Nothobranchius furzeri: one gene and its partner. The protein of the gene in region 2 purifies or fractionates together with the protein of the main gene of each other region. This does not show direct contact. Links are inferred from orthologs where the notes say so. Each region holds a gene or a part of one and is shown on either strand. Other genes may lie near its edges. The genes, in order: traf7 and map3k2.

Region 1 (4,348 bases), on a different chromosome or scaffold from region 2:
CTGCAGGCCAGGGTGGAGACATGGGCCATGAGCGTCCTGTGGGACGCCAAAGAAGGCCGCCCGTGTGGACTAGGGACTATAAAATGGATTTTTAGGACTTGGGGACAAGTCCTCTCAGACATAACAGGGGGGAGTGTGATGCGGGGCGGGACATGCAGCCCCGGTGTGCAGCTGGACCCAGGTGCAGGCAATGATTGCAGTGATGAGGGCACAGTGGAGCTTAAAATGGGTTGTGAGTCAGTCTTTGGATGACAGAGGGAGTGACTGTTTCGAGTTGCTGGACACGGTACTCAGGTGATGGGGGAGGGGTCGATCGCAGCTGGTTAGGGCTGCCGGCGACGAAGATAGGTAGTGGGTGAGGTGAGTGTTTCCTGTGACAGGAGGGGAGGCTGGTTGCCTCCTGCAGTCAGTCAGAGGGGCTGTTAGACGGGCACCGTGGTCCGCGGCGCTCACTCCCCTTTATGCTCTGCGCTCCTACCGAGGAACATCAGGTCAGAGGAGCTAACTGGCCCGCCGCCAGCACGTTGATTCCTGGGGCGCTGGACGGCGTTGGAAGCTCAGACCCTGAGCGGGTCGCCCTGACTGGGCAAGTTAAAGCGCTTTTCTTTGTTGTATAAACAGAGTTTTAAAGGGAGGGTTGTGGGTTTCAGGCTTGCGTGATTTTTAATATTAACATTATAAATAAAGGTTGTTGTTGTTTAAAACCCTGGGACTGTGATTACTGAAAGGTTCTGACAAGGACAACATTTTTGTCCCTGCAACCCCCCCTCGATTTTACATTATTAAATAAATAAAGGAATAAAACAGCAGTGTCGCCCAAAATATGTTGAATCCACTTTCAGAAATGTTTACTTGGATACGTAGTTTTTCTTTTTTTAGGTCACATTTTTATCTAATTTCTTTCAATTCAATTCAATTTTATTTATATAGCACCAAATCACGACAAGAGTCGTCTCAAGGCACTTCACATAATAAACATTCCAATTCAGGTCAGTTCATTAAGCCAATCAGAAATAATGTTTCCTATATAAGGAACCCAGCAGGTTGCATCAAGTCACCGACTTCCGACGATGACACCTTCTCATGTTTTTCCATCTAAAATAACTCCGATCCCTGGGTTCGGTGTGGTATCCCACAGACATGTCCGGGTTCGTTTTATGGCTTCAGCTTCCGCTTTGACTTCCGAACCTCTACCTGGTCCCGCTGCGAACACCTGAGCAGACCTGACAGACCCTCGCTGACTTCCAGATCTTCGCGGTTTTAATTATAAACCGGTGGGGTTTTTTAATGTCCGAAATCTGCGCGAAGACGGTTGCGCAATTTACAGGCAGCTCAGGCCATCGAGTCTAGCGAGCTCTGCGAACGGAACTGTGGGTAGTGTAGTGCGCGATCACAGAGGAACATCCCAGCGGCAGGGAACGTTCTACTACACATCCCAGAATGCACCCGGGCATTCGGAGTTGCGTGTGAAGTAAAAAGGAAGATTCAGACTCGTCTGCAGATCTGGAGCAGCGCCGGAGAGACAAACGATGGTCAGTTACCGAGGCTGTTCGAGCTGGTGTGGTAGAAAACACGTTCAACAAAGCCAGGCTGGTGTTCGCGGTTTCCGGTGGCTAGCAGAGTAGGTCAGACTGTCAGCGGCAGTGATTTCTGAGGAGGGCTGGAAATTAGCTTACCCAAGCTAGCAAAGCCACAGCAGCGGGAGTTTGTCACCAAGCTGCCCGCTGATGAGCGCGGTTTCTGTTTTAACGTGCAGATGCGCTGGACTCGGGTGTGTTTGTTGTCTGAAGGGTAAGCTAGCGAACTTTGGTTGTAAACGTTACGCCCCTTCTGCTCCATGAAGAGGAGGAGGAGGAGGTTTCCCTTTACGGGAACCTCCAGGCTTGCGTCAACAGCTGATCACAGATCCCGCAGGAGGTGATGGACCCGCATACCTTTCTGTTTACATCAGCATCTGCGTGTCCGGGACGGTCTCTCTGCCTGTCTAACCCTAAACCCGTCTTCCTGCACGTTTAGGTGTGAAGACATCAGCCACGGTTTATAAAAATTATCTTAAAACTCTCGTAGACGGGTTTCCACGTCCCAGATGGCTTTCCCCTTTACAGAAGAGAAGTAAAAACCTGAAATGTTGCTTCAGTGTGGGGCACCAGCGCCCAAAAGGGCTGATGAGGTAAAATACCGTAAATCCTCTAATACAGGCCCGGGCCTTTATTTACTCAGGCACATCCTGGTTCAGTCCTTGATTGGAAGGAGGCCAGAATTGGAGGCAGTCCTACATTTTAATTTGAGCAACAAAAACAAACAACAAGATTTTGTGTCTATATGAACCTATAAACACCAGGTTAGTTTATTAAAATGTACAGTTAAGTCTGTACGTACGTACGCTTATAGAGCATTTACAACAAACACCATTGTTTCAGGCTAAATCCCAGTATGGTAGCAAGCATGCCGGTAGTGTAAACACATGGTGATGATTAGGTTATTGATTCACAGCAAAAGACAACAGACGCCTTACCGTGTTAGCAGAGTGTCGTACGCAGCGGTCGGTCGAAATATCCCAAGTCCCAGGTTCAAAGGTAGGAAATAAACGATAGATACAGAGCTTCATGTTTCAATGGGCTTTCACTGGCGCTAGCACCTTTGTAGACAACAATGCTCCCCTTTTATTGGTGCATCTATGAGGTTAAAGGTCAACACACGTCTTTCATTGGTTACCTTATTATGATGTCATCCTCACTTCCTCTCATGTCCTTTTCACAATAAATCAGTCTTATTTACAGATATATATATACCGTAAATCCTCTAATATTAGCCTATATTTAATTAACGGCCGGGTATCACGTTTTGGCCGGTGTCGGAGTCGGCGGAGGTGAATAATGGCCGGTTTTTTATTGTGGCCGGGTGGAATGTGGTAACAAGCAAGTACGGGGGGCGGTTGTGTCATCCGTCTCACTTTTGATTTGCCAGTGAGTTACGTCTCCGACACGTGTTGGTAAAAATGTGAAGGATGGGGGTAACATAAGAACTGGCGGCAGAGTTTAAAATGGGTTTTTTCGTACAAAAGGTATTAAAACACAAGCAAACAGATCTCTCTAAAAGGTTAACATCACGAATTATCAACTATAAAAACACCTGGTAGAAACTTATATTAAGTTTACCGAAACGAAGGTGTTCTAAAAGCCCGAAGTTGATAAAAGTCCCAGACAATTTACTGATTAAAACACCTGGTAAAAGCTTATTTTAAAAGCTTTACTCACACGAAGGTGTTCAAAACCGAAGTCAGTAAAATTGCACAAACCAAAGTTAACCTTTACAAAAAAAACCGAGCACACAAAAGATCCCCCTGGATCATCCAAACTTTATCACCAAGAGTTAAAACTATCACAGTTTAAAACTCCAACAAATCCAAATGTGTCTAAACGAAAGGGGTTGAAAACACACAAAAACCAGGAGGACAGCAGAACCCCTGCACTGCTGCCTCCCAGACTGCTGAAGGCACAGCCCTTTTATGCAGGTGTTTGCTTCATCAGGTAGATTCAGTTCAGCTGTGCTCCTCAGCAGCCCGGGAGAGAGAAGGAGGGGCGGTGTCAGGCTGATTCACTGGAGCTTGGTGATCTTGGCTCCTGCTCCTCACTCAAGGCTGGCAGCCGCGAGGCTAGACCGCGAGGGTAACTTTAACCGTGCGGAGACGAAGAGGAGGCGAAAATTTGATATCAAGTTCAAAGAGAAGGTGCTGATTATGCTGCAGAACACTCTGGGGAGCAGTAGCAGGGGTTGTATGAACTAGTCACTAGTCGACTTCACCGCTCTATAGTGACTTGTTATGCCTGTCATCGACTAGTCGCTGTCACGTGATAATGACCGGCAAGATGCAGTCCATGGAAAAGACAGCAGCCTGCTGTCAGCAGGTGACAAGCTCCTGCACGTCGGGGGGCAACGCGCTGTGCCAGAGCGTCGGTACCGACACCCGCCGTCAAACTGACATTTAACCAAATTGTGACCTTTACCCTCTTGCAATTTAACCTTCCCCTCACCCCCATCCTAACCTTAACCAGCTTGTGCATGCAAAGCTCTGATTGTTGACGCGCTCCAGACATCTGCGTCCTGAGCATGGCCACAGTAACATTATCACATCAGGTGTCGCCACCTCAAAAACTAATTTAACACGCGATCGTTCATGTCGGCTCATTTCCTTTTATGTTTTCTGTCTTTTATTCTTTTATTTGTGCCTGATGCGTTTCGCTGCTGTGGATCGGGGTGCATCACCTGTTATGTCCTCTGGTGACGCAACTGATGTGGTCGGCGACCACTCCACTGTTTTAGCGGTCGGTAGATCTTTTAGAACTGC
Region 2 (4,555 bases):
ACGCTGCGATCCAGCAGCTCCACAGCCTTGTCCAGATCATCCTGGGTGGTCAACGGAATCATCAACTACAGGAGGAGAAGCCAACCACACCGTAGATGTTAATCTTATTATAACAAGTCCATCAGAATTCCTGAGTGTGTTAGCAAAGCTTCCAGCTTTGTACCTCATTGTTGGTGTAATGAAGGTCCATCGTCTGACCAAAAGCCACTTTAGCTTTGGCCTTCAGATCTTCCAGCTTGACGGGTCGAGGAAACTGTAAGATCCTGCAGAGAAGATGAGAAGTCAGAAGGCTGCAGCTGCTGCTGGTCTGAAGGAACAGCATTAGAGAACAAATGTTTACCTTTTCTCTCCTTTAAATTCAAACTTCACTCTCACATCATTCTGTGGAGACAAAGTCACGTTGAGCATAAAAACCATTGGGACGACGACGTGGGTTTTATTTTGAGATCTCAGAAACATGTTTGCTTTGTTGAGCTTTTCTCACACTTCATGTCCAAATCACATTTCTGTGGTTACCTGGTTCTTGGGCGAGGAGGCTTTGGGTTTGCCTAGGTCCGACAGGAAGGTAGCAGGGCGGCTGGAGCGTTGCAGTTCGGCCAAGTCCTGCATGATGGAGTTCAGGGCCTCCTGCTCATCTGCAAAGATAAATTAATCGGGTTTACAGATTATCCACAGCAACAAGTGACACTTTGATCATTATGCTAACAATCGCAAACCTAAAAGATAAAAACAAATGAGCCCCAGCAGGAGCTCATGACTCGTCGCTTAAACAGATGTCATAATAGAAAAAGAGACATTGTTTACAGAAAAAAAAGATTATTTAAGTTTTTAGACAAAAGACTCAGCTGGCTCTCTGCCAGCTGTAACATGATCACAAAGCTCGCACACATACCCATCATCATGGCACGGCAATTGACCCAGGAGGCCAGGATAGAAGACTCTCCCATCAAAGGGATTCCTTTCTCCTGAAACAGCAACACAACTGGATAAATAATAGCATTCAGTTTAATGAAGACGCAAGTTAGAAAGCATGGAGCTGCTGACTGATCCGCAGATCTGTAATTGGTGAGCCAGAGGCAGAAAGAAAATGCATAAATGGGGATTATTGGAAATGTTTGCTCTGATGTCTTTTAAGGGAACAAAATCTTGTGGAAAATTGTTTTGTTCCTATGATCCAATTCAGGAATGACACTGAAACTGGCTCATCGTATGCGTCACTTGGTTTGATTTTTGCAGAACCAAAAATCCTTATTTCTCAACAAATATGGGGGTGAAGTTACTTTTTTGGTTGCCTTTAAATGCAGTGAGCATTCTTGTCTTCTTTTATTTCATCCTGTTATGAGCTCATTTTTTTACACCCTAACTCACCTGTAGAGTCCAAGAAGCTCTACTGTTGCTTATTTTGGAGGTGTGTTTGCAAAAAGCAACAAGAAACATAACATGCTTTATGGAAACTATTCTTAACATGGACTTCAGAGGTTTTCTGGCTTTTTGGCCGTTTTTATTACCAAACAGCTTATAATACTACATCTGCAGCTACCTGCTTTATAATAAATACAGTTTCATTGTGTTCAAAGATGTATGGAAACCTCTGTAGGTTCACCTGAACACAAGTTTCACAGACAATTATAGTGTTGGCAATTCTTCACTAAAGTGGCATCATTAACACAGAAGCTGGCTGGTGTTGACGCAAAAACAAAACACAAACCTGTAATTTTAAATCAGTTAAAACGTTTAAGGAACGGCAGATGCACTAATATTCCAACTAGAAATACACACAGGTATTATTTCTCAGAATATTAAGAATATTGCCTTAATTACTTTATGGTATTGTTGTTATTAAAGCCTTTAGAAGATAACTGTATTTGTAACCCATAAGCCCCGGAAGTTAACAACTGTTGCTAGCTAATTTTACATTACGACTCATGCCAGGATAACATTTCAAAATAGCTGCTATCTTGACATGAAATTCTTGAAAAATACAATTTGTTGTTTAAGCAGCAGGTTTTGGGGGATGAAATGGTAATGACTCCACTGTTAGCTGTCAGGCAAGGGAAGTTATCAGGCTAATCAAACGCTAAAGCTAACTCCTAGCCGCTGGGCTAACCGAGCTAACCAGCACTCGCCCGCGCTGCACAATTATTGGAACAGTTCATGAACGAAGTGAGATTGTTTTTGTCTTCAGCCTAATCCCACCTGATGAATAATTTAATCTCGGTTTATTTCCTCAACCACAGGACCGGTGACAGGAGCCCCGGGCCCTGTGGAGAGCCGCTGGAGGAAGCAGAAGTTTGTCAGTCCGCTGTCAACTTCACTCGAGTCTTGCTGGGCCACGACGACGAGGCCCGGTAGCTGTTGGTTCAGCCGCTTCGTCTCTCCAGGAGGGGAAGTGACAGGGTGATATTTATTATGTTCGGCACGCTACACTCCAGTGCGACAGTTCAAAGGCTAATTCAATCCACAGATCTCATTTTGTTGTGCTACACAGCCTGCTTAACTGTACCTTGCTCGATGCTGACCCCTAGTTTCATCGAGCTAACATGTACGATTAAAAACACACCGGAAATAATTACGCCGTGTTTATAAAATAAAAGCAGCACGTCTCGTGGTGGAAGGCAAAGTGGCGTTCTGTGTTTTATTTTGAAACAAATGTTAACCGAAAGTACTTTTATTTTGAGAAGCTTAACTAGTGTTAACCCCTAACCTCACTGAGGGTCCAACAGAAACATCATACAAACATGACAAGTAAAAATATTTATTAGATTTTTGAGCATTTGTTTGGAGCTTCATTTCAGTTCCAATTTATTAAATAAGTTGTAAACACAGTGTTTTATAGTATAAATTAAGCTTCCGTTTAGACAAGTCACATTTCCTCATAATTTAAATTCAAAGCAAACGATACTCAAGGTCAATTCAGGTCATTCAAATGCCATCCAGTGTGACTTGCTGTTCCAAACACACTAGGCCCACTCATTATCTGATTCATTCCAGTGACTTTTTTTCCGGAACTGCGCTGCTCTGGGTGGCTGCATGTTGGAGTAGCTCTGTTGACTATATGTAAGTTTAGCCTTTTCTTTAGCATTTTTTCTTCTAGTTTCTCAAGAAAAACTATTTTTTGGACACTTTACTTTTCTGTTTCTGGTGCTGTGAAGCTTGGAGGATTTTTACTGCTATTTTTTTTAGCTTTTTTCACTTTTTGAGCATTTGTTATGATGTGTAACCATGGCAACAAGCTGGTTTACAATCGGGAGCAGCTGATTAACATTGGAAAGGCTGAAATAATACCTCAACTGAAGCCACAAATCCCAAATGAGCTAAAATGCAAGAAGCGTGGGTGCAGAGCGTGAGCAAAACGGAGACACAGAGAGAGAGGAAATTCAAACCATCTCTTCCATCGATCATAATGGGCAATGTGAGATCACTGGTCAACAAGATGGAGGAACTCCAAGCCCTTTCAAGGACTCAGCCAGAGTTTCGGCTGTTCGGGAACCGCTGGAGGAGATAATGCAAAGAAGGATTCTCCAGAGAATCAAGAAAATTATGGACAACCCTGAGCGTTCTCTTCACAAGACTGTCCGACAACGGAAGAGTGTCTTCAGTCAGAGGCTTCTTCAGTTTCGCTGCAACACTGACCGCTACTGGAGATCCGTCCTGCCAACAGCCATTGTAATATACAACAAATCTTTGATGGCTTGATTATTATTATTATTCTGATCTACTACAGCAATCAATTTCCCTCTGGGATTAATAAAGTATTTTTGAATTGAATTGAATTGATTACATGCTGGTCCAAGTTCATTCAGTAGTGATTAACTTGACCCCTATTAATTCCAATTTAGTTCAGTTATTTGCAGTCAAATCCAGTCATGTTATGATAAAATTTAAATTGTTTCATTAAACACTATGTGTAAATGTGCATTCAACGCATAATTTTACCACTTTATATTCCCAAACAGCAAAATTCTGCTGCAAGAAGAACAATTCGTTTGATTATCTTTGGTGTGTTCTTGCTGTGTTGAAATTCTAATTCCATCTTTTAGTTTTTTTAAACACAGAAAGGTTTTATTTACCTGGGTTTTGCAGCCGCAAACGAAACGTTGCAGGTAAATAAAATCTTTCTGTGTTTTAAAAAGAACTAAAAGATGGAATTAATTTGATCACATTTTAAACACACCGCTCACTTCAGATCAATAACACTAAAACTGTGTCTTGCGATGGGATCAACATATTAACGTGCGCCTCATTGTATGATTTTTCAGATAAATGCAGTAATAATGATTATTAGACTTTTTTATTCATTGCAATTTGTTTGAATTTACATGAGCAAATGATTATAATTACTTTTAGACAATGATTGCTACTTCTGATAGTTTGAACATTTTATCTAAATATTATTTAAAAATATTTGTTGTTCACTGCTTTCATTAGAAGCGCAACAACAGCATAAAAATATAAAAAATACTATTGTTTCTCTAATCTGAAGGGAGTTTTATTGTGAAAAAACGTCTTTTCGTCACTTCCGGCTAATGTCGAATTCCCATAACATCTAACGAGA

What was found.
Region 1: the proteins of map3k2 (region 2) and traf7 purify together in Homo sapiens (affinity purification with mass spectrometry; 3 studies listed by BioGRID and IntAct, with this or other methods). This does not show direct contact. The link is inferred for Nothobranchius furzeri from reciprocal best matches to the Homo sapiens genes MAP3K2 and TRAF7.

The regions. Positions count from the first base shown.
Region 1 is NC_091752.1:71,713,832-71,718,179, reverse strand, and holds the start of traf7 (E3 ubiquitin-protein ligase TRAF7), read left to right. Parts: upstream 1-1,409; 5' UTR 1,410-1,532; intron 1,533-4,348. UniProt on the Homo sapiens protein: E3 ubiquitin and SUMO-protein ligase that plays a role in different biological processes such as innate immunity, inflammation or apoptosis. Potentiates MAP3K3-mediated activation of JUN/AP1 and DDIT3 transcriptional regulators.
Region 2 is NC_091743.1:83,210,941-83,215,495, forward strand, and holds the start of map3k2 (mitogen-activated protein kinase kinase kinase 2), read right to left. Parts: upstream 3,037-4,555; 5' UTR 2,197-3,036; intron 966-2,196; 5' UTR 948-965; coding exon 893-947; intron 636-892; coding exon 517-635; intron 382-516; coding exon 341-381; intron 264-340; coding exon 164-263; intron 66-163; coding exon 1-65. UniProt on the Homo sapiens protein: Component of a protein kinase signal transduction cascade. Regulates the JNK and ERK5 pathways by phosphorylating and activating MAP2K5 and MAP2K7. Plays a role in caveolae kiss-and-run dynamics.